Linked DNA regions of Drosophila melanogaster. The gene in region 1 interacts genetically with each later gene. Each region holds a gene or a part of one and is shown in the gene's direction. Other genes may lie near its edges.

What was found. Genes that interact genetically often act in the same process or in processes that back each other up.
Region 2: of Pect (region 1) and Syt1, changing one suppresses a phenotype caused by changing the other (phenotypic suppression), as found in Drosophila melanogaster (one study listed by BioGRID).

What each region holds. Positions count from the first base shown.
Region 1 is NT_033779.5:13,201,772-13,209,796, forward strand, and holds the start of Pect (phosphoethanolamine cytidylyltransferase), read left to right. Parts: upstream 1-1,990; 5' UTR 1,991-2,418; coding exon 2,419-2,501; intron 2,502-6,338; coding exon 6,339-6,589; intron 6,590-6,649; coding exon 6,650-6,716; intron 6,717-6,893; coding exon 6,894-7,006; intron 7,007-7,664; coding exon 7,665-7,828; intron 7,829-7,888; coding exon 7,889-8,025. Other genes in the region: CG16972 (uncharacterized protein), read right to left, coding at 1-637, 773-1,229.
Region 2 is NT_033779.5:2,796,970-2,801,776, reverse strand, and holds the start of Syt1 (synaptotagmin 1), read left to right. Parts: upstream 1-1,797; 5' UTR 1,798-1,868; intron 1,869-2,940; 5' UTR 2,941-3,291; intron 3,292-3,455; exon of another isoform or gene 3,456-3,945; intron 3,946-4,807. UniProt on the Drosophila melanogaster protein: May have a regulatory role in the membrane interactions during trafficking of synaptic vesicles at the active zone of the synapse. It binds acidic phospholipids with a specificity that requires the presence of both an acidic head group and a diacyl backbone.

The sequences.
Region 1 (8,025 bases):
ATGTCGATAGGCTGGGCTGGTTCTTCCTGGATGACTGCGTCCTCGCATTCTTCATCGTCGTGGTCCTCCAGTTCGTGATCATACACCTGACAAATATCTGGGCGTTCCTCCTCCATCGGTGTATCGTCTAAGAATGTGGCGTTTTCGTTTTCCTCCGGAGCCTCGTCGTCGACCAGATCCTGGTGCACTAAAGGCTGTTCTAGCGCTGCATCACTAAGGTACACATTGTTTCCAGCCGCCAATCGTGCCTCGGCCACACCCATATCCTCCACGACCTCCTCGATGTAGGCAGTCCCATTGAGACACTCATTCGCATCACTCTCCTCGGACAGCAAGCCCAGCAATGCACCGGTACCGTTTCCGGCCATCATGATGGCCCTGGCGAACTCCTGCTCGCATGCCACTCCCTGGGTAGCTACTATGATCTCACAGCAGTGTTCTTCTCCTAAAACGACCATGTTCTCTCCATCCACAGCCTCATAGATCACACACTGCTCCCCTTCTTCGGCCACCTGAAGTTCATGTTCAGCCTCATCATTCTCGTGGGACAGCATTTCGAACTGGTCAACATTGCCATTTGTCAGCAGCATGCCGGGGCTTAGTGCAATGCCCGGATCCTGGACAGATTCGGGTGAGTCTAAAAAACAAGAAAAGTATGCGATTGAGTGAGTTTACCATATTAGATATTTCATATTTTCAATTGGGATAAATGTTCATAATCAATTAAATGGAAGAGATTTCCTTGTATAGTTAATGGAACAGATTAACAAACCGTTGATCTCGATGACCTCGTGGCTGCTGTACGAACGTTTTGCCGGTGTGCAGGTGGCCCATACTGGGGCTTGGTGTGTCTCTTCGGTCATCATCATTTGCCGGCGAAGTCCGAATATTAAGGGTTCATTCTGAGGGACGAAACTGGAAGACGGCTGCTCCTCCGGCCAGCCCTTGAAGCCGCTGCCACTCGAGATAAAGCTGTGGGTGTCCGAGTCGTCGGAGATCACGTGCAGGTTGCTGTCCACGGCGGGGTCCAGATCTGCTCCCGTCCTCGAGGATCTGGTGACAGATGCAACAAGATCCGTGGGATACTCCCGATCCTCAGCCACGTCCGATGCGTCGCCTGGAGCTTCGCTGGCCGTATCTATCTCGTCGCCTTCCAGCGGCGAGTACCGGTTCAGTAGGTGTTCCTCCGCCGCTACGTAGGCCATCAGGCTGGCTTCTCTTCTGGACATCGCGTTGGTACGGGGAATGGGATTGGGATTATCTAGCCCTCGTCGACTCGTTTAGTAATTGTGGTAGGATTTCTTGTAAATTTAGCACGTGAAATTTAAAAAATATACTTGATGCTGTCTACAAAACAATGCCCGAACTGACTGTGGACGATCATGATTACATTATCATGGCTTGGTCGGTTTCCTTCGATTGTTATTTTTCGTATATCTGCGTGCTGTGCGTTGTATATTTCTTATTTGATAGGCTTAATATTTTAAGTTGCTTTATCCTGTGTGACCGTGGGAAACACCGTAGTATTATCTCACATCGCCATGGCCAATATGCCTCTTAAAATACCATCGGTATTATTTTTACAGTGGGATCAATCAATAAAATATACCTTTAAAATGAAAAAAAAAATTTTAATTGTGAATGTTATTAGTAGTGTTCGTTGTTTAATTCTATGACACTTTTTTTTTAATAATTGTTGTGACAATATTTACATTTATTTATAAACAAAACACTTTGTTATATCCTAAAATATTATACATTTCATTGGGGTGATCGACTCATAAGGATTTAATAGAGTTAATACCCTTTTAACGTATAATAATACAGATTTGTACTTGCTTAATATAAAAGTTCTAGCTTAGTAACATAAAATTTGCCAATTTAAAGTTATTCCCAATATATCTCGATCAGCTGTTGATGTTTACAAAATCCGCGTTAGCTGGTATTCATCGCACCAGGCATATGGTATATTTGGACAAACACCGATGCGGCCACTCTGCTCTCACGGTACTCGAAATTGTGAGAAAAGAAATGAAAGAATCTAAAAAAAAACCCAAGCTAAACACACCGCACTTACGCCCCAAAGAAGTTCCCATGCGCCCGCGCGCTGATAACGCAAGTCTGAGAATCTGAGACCAATTCCGCTCCGAGTCTGAACGTGAATCCGAGTCCGAAACCGATAACGAAAACTGAACTGAGTAGCTCGGTCGTGAAATGGGAATTGATATATAGCGGGCGTCGTCGTAGCTCAGAACAAATAACTTACAGCTCTCGAAGCGTGAACGTCGCTGTCGTCGAGTTTCCGCCTTCAAAACGAGCACTGAAAACAGAAACATACTCTCCGGAATCTAATGTTCGCCCGTTAGCCGGATTCTAAATTAAAATTAAATTAAATTGTGAAAATTCAATAAGTCAACGATGGAGGCAAATGGCGATACCAGCGCCTGCAATGGGTATTCGGACAAGCAGCGGAAGGATGTGCGCGTCTGGTGCGATGGATGGTGAGTCATCTACATTACATTTAGGGGCCTCCAGGAATTCGGTCCACAATGTCTAACGGTTCTTAGGGCAGCCCATTGCGTCACGTCGTTACTCACCGCTAACGGTAAAGTGAGTCAAAGCATAACCATTCCGCGTCGGTGCCATCGATTCCATGCCACACCACGGCCAACCGAACCCTACTATTTCAATTCCAATTTGGTTTCCAATACCAATAACCGTAATCAGTCGACGATAAACTAAACCCCATTTTTAGGCGTGCTAAGAAGCGTCCAGGGTTCCTCAATTGATTAGCAAATCTTTGTGAAACGGTGCCGTCTCGCTGCCCGTTCCAAATATCCACCCATTGCCGTCGTCCGGCTGAAATGTCTACATAATTCAGGTTCAAGGTCTCTCGGATCCGAAATGTCCATATTCTCCACGCTTGACCGGGACATTTGGCATTATATTTATATTTATACGCTATGCAATCTATTTATAATTGTACGCTTACAGTGGCTATTCTAAAACAGATTACTCAGAGAAAATGTTTAATTTGCCTTTTCCGGCGATACTCGCACTCTTTATGGCGCTTAAGCTAACAACAATACATATATCCCAAATTAGTTTGCACAATAATTAATTGCTATATGTGATAAACCGGGTGTTCGGTTCATCTAATGCATCTATGTATTTTAGATCCGCATATAGATACTATTGACGCACTTTGCCTTGTTTTGGGCACCATCAAATGGTTCTATAGGCATTGCGTTCCCCCATATATATATATATATATAATTATTTGATTCCGTGCAATGCATCATCAGAAACCGGTTTATCTTTATCGGTAATGACGCGTTAGACTGCGATATGGACGGATGGATAGATGGCCTACCATAACAAGTTTGCTTCATTGGGGGACGATAGAAATTTCCTCAATTGTGGCTACCGCCAGTCGGTAAAAATAAAAATATACCCATTGTTTATATGCGCCCTCGCTCTTTCTCTTATTTCCTTGTATTTCTACTCACCGTATAAACAATGGCACACGCCCAACAAGCAAATGTACATACATATATGTGCCATATACATGTGCTCTGGCTAACCCACTGTATCTGAACAGCCTGCCTTTCCTTCCGCTCTTCTGTTTTTGAGGCTTCAGATTTTCGGATGAGGGCTGCGTTTACGTGGCCCTTGTTGACTGTGGCTGCCCGCCGGTCGTCCGTCCGCAAACATCACGTGATTCTGGCATGCGCATGCCCTCCGCCTCGGCGATGGACCCCACACCCCTTTTGCACCACCATCATTGCCATTGCCTCGCCATTGACCCACAATGCTGTCGTCATCGTCTGGCGGTCTTTTGTGTGCCCAATTTAATTGGCATTTCGCTGGGCCTCTCCTGTACTGACTAAATAATCGCAAGGGATCGTCTTTATTTTAAAAGGGTTTTTTAAACCATATCCATTTATTATTAAGAGGTGGTTCAATCTTATAGTATACTTCTGCCTAAGCAAAAACATACATATGGCAAAACTTTTAGAATCCAATTGCGAATGCCCTGAAGCAAGATTAGAAAATGTCACCTAATTTATGGATTTAAACCTAAAACATATACATCATGCTCATTGGCATTTCCGGGTAATTTTGGCAGTCTATGCTCCCTTATGTCCATTGTCAACGGGTCACAGCTCCCTGTCACCAGTGTGGAAGTCCTCTAGCTGCGACAGATAAGAACGACCTACGTAGTCGTGCTCCAATCGCTGAAATTCCACATCAGCTGCTCATGGGCACGAACAACAAGTATAAACATAATATTTGCGTGGAATCTGATGGAATCTGATAACCCATCAGATGGGGAAAGCACGTATGTATGTGGGGCACTTGGACCCAAAAATCATTCTAATCAGCAGAGATTGATCATTGACGCAGGCACAAGTGCTTGGCTTGTCTCCTCCTTTCCACCCAAGTCAATGAACCTCTGCCAGTGGAAATAACAAATGAATGGGAAGCTCTCGTAATAAGAGAGTCCGGGGCCTTAAGGCGGGGCATATATGTACATGTGTGCTGTAGTATAAGATCTATGTATATGGCATACTTTACCCCACCAAGTCAATCCACTTTACTAGGCTCTGGGGTCCGGACGACAGAGCACAAATTCTACGGAGAATCGCGTGATATTTTTTAATCAGCAAACGGGCGTCGGCGTTGCTGTCGCTGGTGTTGTCGCTGCTTTTAGCTCACTCAATTGATTAAGCGGCCCCTGGGTCTGTTCTACATATAGAGTACAACAATGCTAATATGGGTATAGTATGTTCGGCACAGATTTCTTGGTGCGCTGCAAAAAAATCTCCGGGAGCAAAGGTTTCGCTTCGATTAATGAATGGCCCACGTTTTTACTAGCTGCTTTTTATGGTGGTGGTCATCTCTCCGCATTTGTTACTATCTGGGCAAGTCAAGGGACTAGCTGGCATAATCCATCTTTTATTTTTAGGCGTGCATGCAGGGGCATTGCATTTCATTTAAATTTCATTTCAGTTAAAGATCCAGTTTGTTTTGAGTACAACTATTTTCTTGGGAATTCTCTAATCTTCAATGGAAGCAGTACTTAAAATACTTTCCGTCTATCTATTTCAAATGAACTCCTCACAATCGATTACCGAAGAAACCGTCGATGGTGACGGTATTATTTCTTATCACCCGCCATTTAGTTAAGTGGTTACCTTTTGCATGTTATGTTAAAAAATGTTTGCACAAAGCCCGCTGGGTGAATCATTTTCCAAAAGAGCAGGTTTCAATATGAATTATTTTATAAATACTTACAATTACAATGTACCTATGGTGGAAAAAATAAATACCTTCATAATTGGTGTTAAGTGCAATTTGTGCAACGCCTCACGTCCCCCGGATGCTATTATCGCTTTCCCAAGCCAAACAAAAACCAGGCCAGGGCACGTGTGCCTATAACCATAATGCCTAGAATCGGCGGAGAATGTAAACAAGCTGAATGGCGATGTTTGCGTATATGTGGCCACTGAAAAGCTGACGCAGCAGCGTTCATAATTGCAATTAGAATTGCAAAACAACGAGCAGCAAATGCGGTTTTATTGATATCCCCTGTCCCGGTTGCTTCATCCATCTCTCTCTCGGCATTTTTGGCATACCCACTCTGATGATCGAGTCCAAAGATCAATCTCTTGACCAATGCTGGGCAAAAGTGGAGCACACAAACCGCCTCTATAGTCACCGGTGGTCAGTCCGTCAGCTACTGGTCATTAAAAGCACTCGACCAGACATCTTTGACGCGCTTCGACAGCGGTTTATGTAAACTATGTAAATGGCTTGCTCGAACCACTTTATTACTTTATCGTCTGGGGGTCATTAGCAGTACTGCTTCGACCTAGCTTCCACCATTAACTAAATGACCAGGATTCCAGCTGAGCGTCAAGACAAGTGGTTTTTTTTTGTTGGGCCTAAGGTTCATTATACGTATGTATGTATGCACATTCCATGCGATAATTGTTTTTTTTTTTTTTTTTTTTTTTTGGCAAGTCTCGAAGTTAAACACGGCTTATCTTGCGAGCTTGAAAAATTGCTAATTTTATGAAATATATGCCATTTTCTGAGTCATATTGGTAGAGGCAAGATCGTTTCCATTAGCTATTTGTCAAGGTCTCGCGGCAATCGTTGCAGTCTTAGTTATCTTAGAATTTATTAAACTTCCACGAATGGCAGACAACATTTCCGGAGGTAACTAATAAGGTCATGTTTGCTTGTTCACTGGCACGCGCTTGATAAAAAAAAAAAAAAACAATGTATCTATTCTTGTACTGACATATCTATCCTCCTTCCATCCTCAACAGCTATGATATGGTACACTTCGGACATGCCAATTCTCTGCGACAAGCCAAGGCTCTTGGCGATAAGGTAATTGTGGGCATTCACACCGACGAGGAGATCACCAAGCACAAGGGACCACCGGTCTTCACCGAGGAGGAGCGCGTCAAGATGGTCAAGGGCATCAAATGGGTGGATGAGGTGGTGCTCGGTGCTCCGTATGTGACCACACTGGATGTGCTCGACCAGAACAACTGTGATTTCTGTGTGCATGGAGGTGGGTAACAAATTTATGCATATATCTGGATGTTACTCAATCGAGTGTATTTGTTTGCAGATGACATTACAATGACAGCCGAAGGAGTGGACACATATCATTTGGTCAAATCAGCCAATCGCTACAAGTGAGTTTGAAAAGATATATTTTTAAGACATGTGGCAGTTTATTAAAAAGGGAATGCACACACACTTACCTTATGTACATCTTGCCTTAACCTTTAATAAGCTGCCAGTTGTCTTGTAAAGCACGTACTGCACATTTTTCCAATTACTGACCTTAAATTTTCTTATGCAATCCGCAGGGAAGTGAAACGCACAGCTGGAGTCTCGACCACTGACCTTGTGGGCCGCATGTTGCTCCTGACACGCAACCACTTCCGTCAAGGATCCGCGGAATATGATATCGAGAAAGAAGGTAGCTTTAGCTTGTTCCAACGCTTTTCTGGCACATTTTATTTTCATTTTAATGTTCCTAAATCACAGCGAGCACTGTGAATTTGTGCGCCAAATTCATTGTTTCTAACCATTACTAACTTTAATTTTAAGACTACTTTTTGTTTGCACTCTTTTTGTCTTTCATTTCCTGCTGTCGAACTTGTTTATTGCTCTTGCATGCTGTGCATAAATCAAAGTCGATCAATCAGTTACAAGTATGAACAATATTATACAGATATATTCAGTTTATACATGGGCTACGCACGATTAGTTTATGCATTTTCCCCAATAGATTCTTTTTAATTTGCCATAGTTGAACGCAAATAACGCCTTGGTTTATGGTTGCCCTCTACAACTTTACTATTTCTCTTCTTTTTATTTCTATGTACGCACTGTTAACCACTATCAAAAATATAATATAATGTATGAAACCTATGAAAACTATGCTAAATGTTTTGTGCGTGTGCGCGCCCGCGAAATGAATCCAAATGCCGAATGCCCAATGACCAACCTGCAATCAAAATATCCAAATCCGAATCCAAATCGAAATCAAATCCTAAACGTAAATTTTTGCTCTTAAATACACACTTTTGCTCATTTGTCTGCGTTGCTTTACAATACAAAACAAACAAAAAAAGTGTCAATTTTAAAACGACAAATAAAATCCCATCCAGGTTCTTCGAACATGGGTCAAGATTCGGCAGCCAAAAGTCCGTGGACCGGTTGTAGTCAGTTCTTGCCGACTACCCAAAAGATCATACAGTTCAGTGATGGAAAGTCACCGAATCCCGGCGATAAGATTGTAAGTTTAGCCCTCATTATATGTATATAATGTATAATTCATAATTGTCGGTATTTGCAGGTTTATGTGGCTGGCGCCTTCGATCTCTTCCATGTGGGTCACCTGGACTTTCTGGAAAAGGCTAAGAAACTGGGTGACTATCTGATTGTTGGCCTGCACACAGATCCCGTGGTGAACTCCTACAAGGGCAGCAACTA
Region 2 (4,807 bases), about 10 Mb from region 1:
CAGTTGTGCCTATTGCACATCTGGATTGTGAGTATAAGCACTTGATAAGGTGCAAGTGCCGAATAAACCACATATGCAAAGCAAATAAAACCAATGGCCATTATAGGTGGCACGTGTAGCCTTGCCATAACCTCGACCACCAAAACGATTGATACCACACGGAATCAGAAACATAACATAGGAAAAAACCAAACATTCGCTGATTGCGAGTCTAATCGGGTGATGCAGGCGGAAAGAACACTATTTTTTGGGGGTGGGAAACTTCGCATTACCTCATCAAAGTTGCCCCAAACCAAACCAAAGCAATCATGCCAATTGCCCCAATTCAAATCGATTAGTCTCGATGACACAGCAACCCCAATAATGCAATTGCCCCACGGCCAAATCGGATCGAGCGCGTGCCGCCTCGCTTATCGCCATTTGGGAGCAAGTTCAAGTGACCACCGACCAAGAGCTGCTGCTCCCTGTCCACTTCCCACTGATAACTGATAGTGATAAGTGCGTAAGCGAGTGCGTGTTTACATTCCGCTCTTCGCTTCAATCATCAATCATCCGCGATCGATCTCGATCGATTTGAGCCCGAGGACTGGCCGTTTAATTAACTTCTTCGCTAGCGATTACCGATTGCCGTGCGAGGGTTCCCAAGATAAACGATATGGGAAATCACGAACCCCGAGTATGGCCAACCGCCTGATTGAGGCGTGAAGGTGACCAGCACTATCGAATATCGTGATTTATTTGCGCGTCGTAAAGGATTGTTAATGATTCACCCGATATAAATACATAACTCATAGGAAAGCAAGTCGATAAGTATTTCTGTTCAAAGAAGTATGATTTAAGATCGTATCTGCTTTGATTTTAGGTTACTAATAGTAACTTACTATGTATTTGTATTCCTATAGTATATTTATTCAAAACATTTAAAAATATATCCTCATTGCATGTAAAAACTCAGCTACTCTCTAGGGGGAAATCACGATTATAAACTATTTTTGTGACAAAGTATTAATTAAATTATATTTCATAATTATTGTGCTGACATGTCATTAAGATGGACTTGTCAGCCCAAAAGTAGGCACGACCTTTTAATAATGCATTTCCAAAACCAAATAAATTGCCTGGATGGATCGGATCTATTGAAAAAGATTTAATTTCACAGTCATACTATTTTGGCTTATCGTTAGATAAGTAATTTGTTTTGATTTTTTGTGAAATATACGATACAGTGCCGCCATTTACATGGCAAATCTCAGCTTTCATAGGCGAAGGAAAAATAGTACGGAAAGTGAAACTTGGCACAGAAAAGCTTTGCTCTACAGCAAATGGCAACATTGTGTGCCATTGAGACACTTCCGCCCCAGTACGCATGCACCAAAAAACATACTGCGAACAGGTTCTGAAGGAGCTTTCAACTTTACATGTGATTCCCAGTCAGATGTTTACCTCCTTTGGGAAAATCTAGAGAGAGATATAGTAGGGATTTTTGAAAATATGTATGTAAAGGTACTAGACATGAGATACTGTAGTAGTTATTCAACTCTTACTTATGAAGGATGCATTTTATGGTAGTGCCTATTTTATGATTATCCTCCTTTGCATATCATACAGACGTAGGGGCTCAGCCATGTCCAGCTGGCCTAAAGTCTTCCCCTCCGAGATTTCCGCTGCCCAAAAGCTCCCCCCACGGTGGACACCGCCCCGCTCACCCGCTGGCCGAGCGGCCAAAATCGATGCCCCAACCGGTTCGCTCTCGCGTTTTGGCGAGTGGCCCAAGCTTTTCAGCGCTGCTCCTGGAGCGTGTGGGCCAAAACGCGAATGAACATCGACCGTGGAAGTTGACTGCTGAAGTACAAAGCGCTAGGCTGAAGGTGAATGGGAAAGAAAAATTCTAGAGGCTCATAAAAAGTGGCAATGCCCATGGAAAATCATTCAAAAATGTGATGAAAAAATTATGAAAATTAAACAGAATTGGTTGAAAGCAAAGCAAAAGTGTTGAAAGTGTTTTCCAATTTGTTATATAAATGAAAAGGCCATCGAAAGCCCCGAAATGTATAGTGCGCGTGTGTATGTGTGTGTGGTGTGGGTGCGTGTATGCGACTGTGTGTGTGCGAGTGTTTAGCACGCGCTGACAAAAAAGGAGAACATTTTTTGTGTATCAGAATTTTTCGCAGCAAATGTCGAGAAAAAATGGCAGCTAAGCAAGAAAATTTTAATTGAAAATTCCAATGTGCAATGCGAAGATGAAAGAAGCGCTGAAAAATGGGCTATCATTGAAAGTGAAAACGCATGTGAGCCACTTGCGGGGATATTGATTTTTCCCACCCGACTATTGTGGTGCTGTAGGCCAGTCGAAAGCCAGGATTAAAAAGCATATCAATGTGAATTCGGAAAATCCGAATCCGCAGTCCTTCAACGCCCTATAATTAAATAATAAAAAATTAAAATTGAAATGAGATTTTTAACTATCAACTTGAAGTGTCTGAGTGCGAGAGAAAAAAGGAAAGCTCAATTCAAGCCAAAAGAGGCCCTGAAAAGGACGAAAGAAATGGCCCTAAGAAAATCTCTATCCTGAATTTGCTTTCTTCGAGGAAAAAGCGAATTTGCCAACCTCCCACTCTCTCTCTCTCTCTCTATTTTTGTCTCTCTCTGCCCACTCACCAACACGCACACACATGCTCTTTTGGGCAAGGAGACACAACACACAGACACACACACAAAGCCGAGTTCGCTCTATCAATATTTACGCACACCATTGTATTTTGCTATTACGTATACGCTGCGTATCTCTTCAACTCTCTCACTCACTCTCTCTCTATATCTCTCTCTCTCTCTCTCTTCCTCACTTTCCGCTGACATCCTTTGTACTGCAAAATATATGCAAATAAATCTAAATAAATTGAATTAATTTCAATTAATTTTATTACAAATTATCCAAAAAAGTATACGAAATTCATGTGAGACTAGCGAGCCGCGGCCTCACTAGCCAAAGCCAGTCACAAAAAACCAAAAACATAAATCAGGCAGCAGCAGCAGCACACATACATCGACAAGCGCCAGGACCCGCATCACCATATCCTTCCTGCCAAATAGTCGCCACTGCTGCCGACCCTCCCCGCTCCCCTCGCAGGAGTCACGCTTCGTTAAACGCTGCTCAAAACCCATCATCCTAACTAATAAAGCGGACGATAAACAAGCGAATTAAGTACCAAAAACGACCGAGCTATTAACGCTAGTCTGGATCCCAATTGCTGATTGGAAAGGAGAAACATTGGCAGCATTTCTGATTAGGGGGTGAGTGTTGGTATTTACAAGAACGTAGCACACTTTTTGGGGCAGTCCATAGAGTGAATGGAGAAACATACATAACTAAAGGGTTGCTGCAGCTAAAGAAAAACTAATCTCTAAGCTATCAGAGAAAATGTGATTGCTTATTATTCTAAGATACAAACATTTCCCATGGTTAACATTCATCTTGAATTATATTAATATCTAAATAATCAAGTTAATTAATAGATTCACAAAAATTTGCAGGAATTTCCTTTACCAATTAAACCCAAAAGGTCTGAAATACTTTGGGTTTATTAACTTGATTAATTGCCAGACTGCCAAATTCTCTGCCCAGTGCCACACATCACTTGTTCATCGTGTCCTTTCTTATCTTCGTCTAATAAGAACTAAACCTGATTTAGTCCTGCTCTTCGCTAATTAGCTTTGGACAGCCCGAAGTTGGGCTGGAATTCCTCGGAGGGCAGGCTATTAAGGGCATTGCCGAAGCATAGCAATAAAAATGCTGCAAACAAGCTCGGCAGGCCGCACATAATTGCCAATAATCAAGTTGGCCCGAACGGCAGCGTAATTTTGACCCTTCGCGTCGCCCGAAAATCCTTTTGTGTGAAATTCGAGAATATGAATGAATTGTTTGCACGGAGTCTATATTTGATTTTGAAAACATCGAGACGGATTGTTCAATGAAAGCGAAAAGCATAATGATGTGGAAAATTGGTTTTCTCCGCCAGGCATTCTTCTGGCCTGAGGCAATGTCGGGCTCCAACGTCTAGCTTGGATTTTCCTTCATGTTCATTTCTTTTTTTTTTTATTTCCTTTGCTATTTTCCGAGTTTTTATTTTGTTGCCTTCTCTGGGTTATGTGCGCAGTAAAGAGAGCAGAAACAGAAACAGAAAGAGAGAGAGAGAGAGAGAGCTGTGGGCATGTGTGGCTTTTCCGCTTTTCCATCCTTCCGCTCTCATAGTTTTCCACTCTCCGGCTCGCCAAAAAGTTTAACCGTTTCCCCATTCGTGAGCTTCGAGAGCCTCCTGGCCATTTTCTACGCGATTCGCCCGTATTACGTGCGTGGGTTCCACAGATGTTGCCATAGATCCGAATCCGAACCCGAATCATATTGCGAGCTCCATTTGCTCGCTGGCGGGTTTGTTTGGACCCGGTAATGGGTAATGACTGCCTGTCCAATCCATCCCATGTTAATTTGTTTTGACAGCTTGATGGTAAGACCGGTAGAAAACTCTATTTTTACTCGGGTTCTTCGTTGCTTACTCGCAGTATCCTTTTACCATTTATCTTATCGCCATGCGAACCCCGCGCTAATCTAAAATGCCCAGCCAATTGCCGTTATCTGTGCTCCACTTTTTGTCACTGCATTGCACCACCCACCGGGCCACCAACCCAGCAGCCCACGCACCCTTATCAGCTTTTTCTGCACCACCGCCCACAATTTATGAAAAAGCAGCAGACAGCTGCCTATTTATAGGTCCTTCGCCAAAGGTCAAATCGTAGCAATTATTACTAGGAA